2 linked regions of the Cricetulus griseus genome follow. The protein of the gene in region 2 purifies or fractionates together with the protein of the main gene of each other region. This does not show direct contact. Links are inferred from orthologs where the notes say so. Each region holds a gene or a part of one and is shown on either strand. Other genes may lie near its edges.

What was found.
Region 1: the proteins of Nup98 (region 2) and Nup43 purify together in Homo sapiens (affinity purification with mass spectrometry; 4 studies listed by BioGRID and IntAct, counting the BioPlex papers as one, with this or other methods). This does not show direct contact. The link is inferred for Cricetulus griseus from reciprocal best matches to the Homo sapiens genes NUP98 and NUP43.

The regions. Positions count from the first base shown.
Region 1 is NC_048595.1:280,415,584-280,420,199, forward strand, and holds the start of Nup43 (nucleoporin Nup43), read right to left. Parts: upstream 3,119-4,616; 5' UTR 3,052-3,118; coding exon 2,932-3,051; intron 2,617-2,931; coding exon 2,494-2,616; intron 1,524-2,493; coding exon 1,446-1,523; intron 47-1,445; coding exon 1-46. UniProt on the Homo sapiens protein: Component of the Nup107-160 subcomplex of the nuclear pore complex (NPC). The Nup107-160 subcomplex is required for the assembly of a functional NPC.
Region 2 is NC_048596.1:97,236,205-97,240,022, reverse strand, and holds part of Nup98 (nuclear pore complex protein Nup98-Nup96), read right to left. Parts: intron 3,504-3,818; coding exon 3,321-3,503; intron 2,267-3,320; coding exon 2,113-2,266; intron 1-2,112. UniProt on the Homo sapiens protein: Plays a role in the nuclear pore complex (NPC) assembly and/or maintenance. NUP98 and NUP96 are involved in the bidirectional transport across the NPC. May anchor NUP153 and TPR to the NPC.

The sequences.
Region 1 (4,616 bases), on a different chromosome or scaffold from region 2:
CTGTATGGTGGTGAGCTGCTGGCCACTGCTGATTGACTGACAGAGTCTAGGCATCAGAAATGAGCATGTTATCAATCAGAGCAAAGTTCTGAAGAATGAGCCCTTCTTCCCAGAATTTTTTTTTTTTTTTTTTTTTTTTTTGAGACAGGACTTCCAAGTGTTTGGGATTATAAGTGAGCCACCAAGTCTGCCCAATAACAGTATTTTTAAGATTATAAGATTATATCTTATTATATCTTATGTCCTTGTAGGAGAACAATTCTCCCCTTTTCTTTGTATTTGAGCATACTGATGTTTAGAAACTACTTCCATCAAATTTTTGTACATTCTAATTAGACTCACCACATTTATTTCAAACTACTAATTTTTGTTACCAAGTAGCTGAATGTTAGGGGAATAAACTAATACATAAGGGACTAACCTCTACATCTTTTTCTACATGATTCCATTAAGAAAATGAATTACAGATGGGCATGGTGGCACATACCTTTGATCCCAGCACTCAAGAAGCAGAGGCAGGGGGATTTCTTAGTTTAATGCCAGCCTGATTGACATAGTGAGTTCCAGACCAGCCAGGTCTACAATAATGAGATCCTGTCGCAAAAAAACAAAGTTATGAGTATGTGTGTGTGCCTGCCTGCCTGAGTTTATGTGCATCACACCTGTGCCGGTGCCTACTCAGGCTAGACGAGCATATTAGATCCTCTAGAGTTGGAGTAATAAGCTTTATAAGCTATTGTGAGGTACCTGGTGTGGGTGCTAGGAATGGAACCAGGGTTCTCTCCAAGAGCAGTACACACTCTCGAGCCACCTCACCCGCCCCAAGAGAAAGGTCTTTAAGTCATGGGTTTTCTGAAAACCTGGCTTCTACCCATTAAAAATAAAACAGCTGTTCTGCCCTCCTTTTGATATTTGAGATAGAAGCTGAGCATGCATTCAAGCCTGGGTGCTGGCTTTCTCCTTTCAACTCTAAAAGACTATGAAAGGAGCTGACAAAACACTGTAGGGAAATTACCACCAGCAGATGTTACTGCTAGAGCTAATAAATAGTTTATTTAAAGGATGTCCAATTTCCGAAGACACGTATGTAAGCATGATGTAGACTTTATCAAAAAGTAATATGGGGCTGGGGGTGAAGCTCAGTGCAAAAATGCATGTTTTGACCCTCATCAACCTCTAAAAAGTGGACAGTATCCTCTCCTATCATGACTCCTCTTTAAGCTAGGATTGTGCTGTGTTGCCCAATCTAGTCTTCAGCTACTGTGATCAAACAATTCTTTTTTTTCAACCTCTGCAAATGTAGGAGCTCCAAGAGAATGCCCATGATTGACTCGCTTCATGTTTAAACACTGTAAAACACTGTGAACTCATTACACACAATCTTCTGTAAGTCTTCTCATAAATAATTAAAATAAAAGTTCACTTTCCCTGTGAAGGTTCTTTACCTGGTTATTTGGATGATGAAGAAACACTGTTACACATCCTGTTGACGAAGCAGCTACGATTCTTTCCTGATCAAAAAACTAAATAGAAAAATTCTGCTTATTATTATAGATTTGGAAATATTAAGGAGAAAAAAGTCCATTACTTCACCTTGACTAATAGCAAACCTTGTAAGGATTTAAAGAAGCAAGCAGCTGAAACAAATAAAATATGTTAAATGTGTTAAAATGTTTAAGAAATTTTTATATAAACTATGAGTATTTTCATGAAGGATAAATAGTAAGTTTAAAGTTTTACTCTACATTTTGATTTGGGGCTGCAATGATAAAAGTCTTGAAATGTGTCAATCGTAAGAGTAGGCAGCTTTTTACTGAGTAAAATGCACTGCATCTGAATTGATACAGATTTTTTTTTTATGAGGGAGACTCTCTGATGCCCAAGCTCATCTAATTTCTACTAAGTTGTTAAAGAAACCATAGAAGAGCAGTCCTGCACAATATTTTCTATATGTTCAAAAGATACCAGTCTCATCTGTCTGATTAGTAAAGTGGTGAACAGAACTTGACGGCTGGGATACATACACTCAAAGGTAGAGAGCACTTCCCTAGCACATGTGAGATCCTGAGAGCATCCCCATCACAACACATGATAAACCCTGACTCACAGACATGCAATGCAAATTAACATACCTGTATAACACTCACCAAACAGCATTTGGCAAGTAGATGGGCAAATTTTGTTTGTTTTTTGAGATAAGGTCTCAAAATGTGGCTCAGTCTGGCCTTGTGATCCCTCCTGCCTCTGCCTGCCATGGGCTGGAATTAGAGGCTTGCACCCACATGCCGGCTTGGACAATTAATTTTCAAACTGATTGACACAAATTCACTTTCCCAACCCCACTTCTGTCACTAAGTGCCTAAACAACGATGTAGTAAATTACAATTCAGAGATTAGTGTCCTGTAAACCAGGAATGACAGTAGACGAACTATACGGTGCTAAATGTATGATCAGATTTCCAAGTTTAGCTTTGGGGGACAACTCAGATTTACCTGTAAATCCATGACATCACCATGATGTCTGATATCGCACAGTAATTGATGGTCTCCTTCAAACCCTCCGTCAGAATCCAAATTCCCAAAATCTCCAATAGACCACAGTGAAACGCAGTTTTCCTGCAAAGCAGAAAGTTTTATCTTGGGGTGACGAAAACGTCAACTAATTCAGACTGCCTTTCGGGCGTCCTTGCTCCAAAAGCATCTCAGACAAACGGTATGTTAAGATCTGAAACGATCAGAGATGTGGCCCGTTTCGGACGGTATGTCTACAAACTTGGTGAAGGTTTAAAACCAGATCCGAGGCTCAAATACACCACCAGGGCTCTGAGGTAGGGCAGCCAAGCAGGAGACCCGCAAGCCATAAGCTGCTTTCGCGCGCTGGCGCGAGGGGCGTGGAGCAGAGCAGCCGGGGACCCGCCCGGGGCCGGGTACCTCATTGTCCCAAGAGCCCGTAGCGAAGGTCTCTGCGGTCTGCAGGCTCCCAGAAGGCACTGGCCGCCAGCGGGTCTTGCTAATTTTCTGAGACACGAACTTAGCATAAATTTCCTCCATGCTGAAATCTAGAAGAAGCTTCAGCAGAAAGCACACTGCGCGCTCCTCAGGCCCGCCCCTTCCTGCGCGGTTCTGATTGGATGAGACCCCACGGGAAAGACGGTGGCTGCAGACAGCCAATTCTCGACATCAGGAGGACGCGCCAGCCCCTAAACTGAAGGAGGTTGTGATACCGCACTCTTGAAAGTAGTTATGAACAAAGATCCAGCCCCTAAAACCTTCAACAAAAAAGACACACTCCTAAGGCGAAATCAATCTAGGAACACTGACAATATATTATTTGTGCAATGGTCGTGTAATGTGAGAAGTTTTTTTTTTAATATTTAGGGTTTTTTGTTCATTATAAAAACTTTATTATTAAAACGTTGTAAATAAAAAAATAAAATAAATTTAAAATACGTTGTAAATAAAAAAAATCATCACACACCAAAATTAACCTGACCCAAAGACTATACAATCCAATGAACTTCCATACATTTAGCTCAGCCATTCAGAAGCTGTGGAGCTTCACATTGGATTTTATACTTTCACAAATGTATATTTACTTTAATTTTTTTTTGAGACTGTGTTTCTTTGTGGCTTTGGAGGCTGTCCTGGAACTAGCTCTTGTAGACCAGGCTGATCTCGAACTCACAGAGATCCATCCACCTGCCTCTACCTCCTGAGTGCTGGGACTAAAGGCGCTCGCCACCACCGCCCGGCTATATTTAATTTTATTAGCGAATATGTTTTTATGCACTATCTACCTCCAACTCCCCCAAAAAAAATTCATGACAGATTTAGAGGTAGGAAAACAATTGCATTTATTATTCTTTTGATAAATCTTTAAAAATATTTAATTTTTGAAATTTTTAAATTGTGTGTGTGAATATTTTGTTTGCCTGTATGTTTGTGTCTATTGCATGTGTTCATGCCTGGTGGAGTCCCTGGAACTGGAGTTACAGAAGGTTGTGAACTGCCATGTGGGTGCTGGGAAATGAACTCAGGTCCTCTGGAAGAGCAACATGTGCTTTTAACTGCTGAGCTATCTTCTCAGCCCTTAAAATAACTTTATTTTTACTTTATTTTAAGTTATCTATATGTAACTGTCTGCATGTGTATATGTGCATGTGAAGACAGGTGCCTGAAGAGGCTCTGGACATTCAGGAGCTGGAAATAGAGGCAGGTGTGAGCTCACAAAACCCATGCAGGAGGTGAGAAGCCAACACTAGCCCTCTGAAAGATCAGCAAATCCTTTTAACTGCTGAATTAGCTCTCTAGACCTGTCAGAGAAAAATCTAAGTATAAAATTTTTTCTTAAAAATTCAGGAGGAAATATCTTGTACCAGCCGTGAGCACTTAGATGAACTTCACTGCACATAGAAAATGTTTTTTAAACCTTAGGGCTGGAGAGATTGCTCAACCACTAGCAGCACTTGCTCTCACAGAGAGCCTGGGTTCAGTTCCCAGAACCTACATTGTAGCTCCATTGGTACATGCCCAGGCATGGTGGCACAAGTTTAATCCCAGCACTCAGGAGATAAAAGCAGGTAGATCTCTGTCAGTTCAAGGCCAGCCTGGTCTAC
Region 2 (3,818 bases):
TACTTTTGTTTTTGATTTCTTGAGACACAGTCACTATGTAGCTTATGTCCTAGAACTCACTAGGTAGACCAGGCTGGTCTCACCACCACACCTGGCTACAATATAGCACTGGCTATATTGATCTATATAGATCAATATGTAGATCAAGATGTCCTTGAACTCAGATCCCATTTCCTCTGCCTCACTAGTGCAAGGATTAGAGTGTGCCATCGCTGTAAGCTGTATGGCTTATAATAATAATAATAATTGTTTGTTTTTTTGAGACAGGGTTTCTCTGTGTAACTGTGGAGCCTGTACTGGCACTCACTCTGTAGACCAGGCTGGTCTTGAACTCACAGAGATTCACTTACCTCTGCCTTTCAAGCCCTGAAATTAAAGGTGTGCACCACCACTGCCCAGCAACAATACTTTTATATATATATAAAACATATATATATATATTGTTTATTTATATATAAATATATATAAAACAATATACTTATATTGTTTATTTATTGTGTACACATGTTATGTCTGCATGTATGCCTGCACACCAGAAGAGGGCACCAGATTTCATTACAGATAGCTGTGAGCCACCTCGTGGTTGCTGGGAATTGAACTCAGGGCCTCTCCAAGTGCAGTCCTCTCTCCAGCCCAGCAACAATAATTAAAAAAAAAAAAAAAGGTTTCATTTTAAATTATGTGTACACGTGTAGGTGTATCAACATGACTGTAGTTGCCTGTGGATGCCACGCGTCCAATCCCTCTGGAATGAAAGTTACAGGTATTTGTGGGATGCCTGATGTGGGTGCTGGGAATCAAACTGCAAAAGCATTACAAGTTCTCGATGGGCGGTTGGTGGTGCACGCCTTTAATCCCAGCACTCGGGAGGCAGAGGCAGGCGGATCTCTGTGAGTTAGAGGCCAGCCTGGTTTACAAACTAAGTGTGAGGACAGGCTTCAAAGCAATACAAAGAAACCCTGTCTCGAAACCAAGAACAAGCAAAAAACACACATAAATCTGAAGGACATTAAATCCTTACACAAACATAGCCTTATGTATAATTAAAAAACAAAATAGCCAGATGATGCTGGTGCACACCTTTAATCCCATCACTCTGAAGGCAGAGACAGTTAAATCTCTGTGAGTTGGGAGTGAGCCTGGTCTACAGAGAGTTCCAGGACAGTCAGGGATACAGAGAAACCATGTCTCAAAAAACAAACAAACAAACAAACAAACAAACAAAAAATCCTAAAAAACCCAACAACAAAAGCAAACAAACAGAAAACAAATAAAAAAAAAAACCAAAACAATCTCACATAGATAAAAACTGAAGTTACTATACTTTAATGTTCAGTACTAGATCTGAGAAAGTGTTACTAAGCAATGCTATAATAAGGTAAAGTTATTTTTTTTCTTGGGATGGAGAAATGGCTCAGAAGTTAAGAACATAGTTGCTCTTCTAGAGGACTTGGCTTCCCATCACCCACTCGACAGCTTATAAGTCTTTAGCCCCAATTTTGGATGATCTGATACGCACCCTCCTCAGTGCCTGAGGGAAGCAGGAACACAAATGATACAGACATACATGCAGGAAAAACATTCACATACATAAAATAATTTTTATTTCTTTTTGAGGTGAGGTCTTGCTAAGGAGCCAGACTTATCCTGAATGCAAAATCCTCCTTTCCTAGTTTCTTAAGTGCTAAAATTAAAGGCATGCCATATAATGCAGAGTTTTAAGCATTTTTTTTAAGATTTATTTATTTATTATGTATACAACGTTCTGCTTCCATGTATATCTGCACACCAGAAGAGGGCAACAGATCTCATAGCAGATGGTTGTGAGCCACCATGTGTTTGCTGGGAATTGAACTCAGGACCTCTTGGAAGAGCAGTCAGTGCTCTTACGCTGAGCCATCTCTCCTGCCCAGTTTTAAGCATTTTTAAAAGTTAAGTTTATAGCCAGTACAAACATCTAGTATGTTTTAAAGATCACATCGTGCTACAAATCTCAGGCTGACTGAAATCATAAGGGGTTAGGCTAGAGAAATCCTTTTAGCTTAGAAGATGTGAAAAGTATGACCTTACAACAGTTTTTTTTGTGTGAAAACAGCACATTTTATACTGTACCGATTGAACGGGATTTTGATGAGTGGGAGGCTGAAATAGGGCGTCTAGGAGAACAGATTTCTTGAACAGTATCTCCTTTGGAGGGGAAGTGACTGAAGTGTTGATCCATGGCATCTCCATCTTCCTCATCCACAAGCAATGATGCTTTCATGATCTAAAAAAGGCAGTATCTATAGAATGACTATTTCCCACAAATGGAAGACCACAAAAGAAAATTGCAGTTTAGATGAGCTTAAAAAGTACCATTTCTTCTAAAGTCTGTAACAAGAGCAAGTATAACATTTTTGTGACCTGTAGCACACCACTATACTGCATGTACCCGAAGGACTGAAGTCACGAAGTTCTCTTCTTTGTATTCACTGTGTTCCACCAGTGGTTGCTGTTATTTGCTGAATTAATGATTTAAAAGTCAAACATAGTCAAAGGTTAAACTCATACAAAAATGCTGCAGCTACAGGAAGAGAGCAATTCAACATGTGTTTACCATGTTCTTAAAATTTCTAAGTTTGGGGCTGGAGAGATGGCTCAGAGGTTAAGAGCACTGTCTGCTATTCCAGGGGTTCTTAGTTCAATTTCCAGCAACCACATGGTGGCTCACAACCATCTGTTATGAGATCTGGTGCCCTCTTCTGGTGTGCAGATATACATGGAAGCAGAATGTTGTATATATAATAAATAAAAATCTTTTAAAAATTTTTTCTAAGTTTGAAACCTCAACACTACTCTTGTCAAGTAGACAAAGTGATTTTTTTTTTGGGGGGGGGTGGTTTGAGAGAGGGTTTCTCTATGGCTTTGGAGGCTGTTCTTGAACTTGCTCTTGTACACCAGGCTGGTCTGGAACTCACAGAGATCCGCCTGCCACTGCCTCTGAGTGCTGGGATTAAAAGTCACTGTCCAGCAACAAAATGATATTTAATAGAATTTAGTGCTGGCAGTTGTTTAATTTGTTGCCTAAAGTCAGGACAGTAAAGTTACAATACTTGGCTAAGAAAACAAATCTTTTGATTTTATGCAGTAAAAACAGAAACCACCTTATCATCCTCAATATACTAGGAAAAAGAGGCCTAGGACATGGGCCTATTTCCTTTTTCATTATAGTGAACTCTCAATGGTCTTAAGTAAATAATTAAAGAAGACCTATGATATTATATAAAAAATTGAATGTTAGTTTGATTTTCTACCACAGTAAGGATGAGCCAAAACTTCACCTGTAAGACATGTGGATTAATTCCCAGCGAAGATGCAATGTGTGTCGAAGCAGACACTGGCTCTTGATCCTCAGGCACACACTCTTCTAAGACAGAATCCAAAACTGGCTCCTGAGTGATATCTACCATGTCACTGTCCAGTTCCACAACCCTCCCTAACTGCTCCACTTCGGGGCTCTGGCTCTGCAAACAGCAAAAACAGAGAAGGAAGATTAAAATACCCCAAACACAGGAAAGGTAGGCCAGATAAATTTTATTTAGAGTATGACCTAGAAATATTCTCCATATTCTAAGAGATGTGAGCAGATTTGCTAAGAAAATTTAACATTAATTGCCTCTCTCAGTATCTGGGACATAAATGGTTCATACACTATCCTTTTGGAATTATCCTGAGGCAGGGTCTAGGATCTAAGTCAACATCCAAGCAGTGGTCTTCAGAAACAAAGATTATACCGTACCTTCCTTTGTTAGCAACTATAGCTTCCTGATTTACAAAGG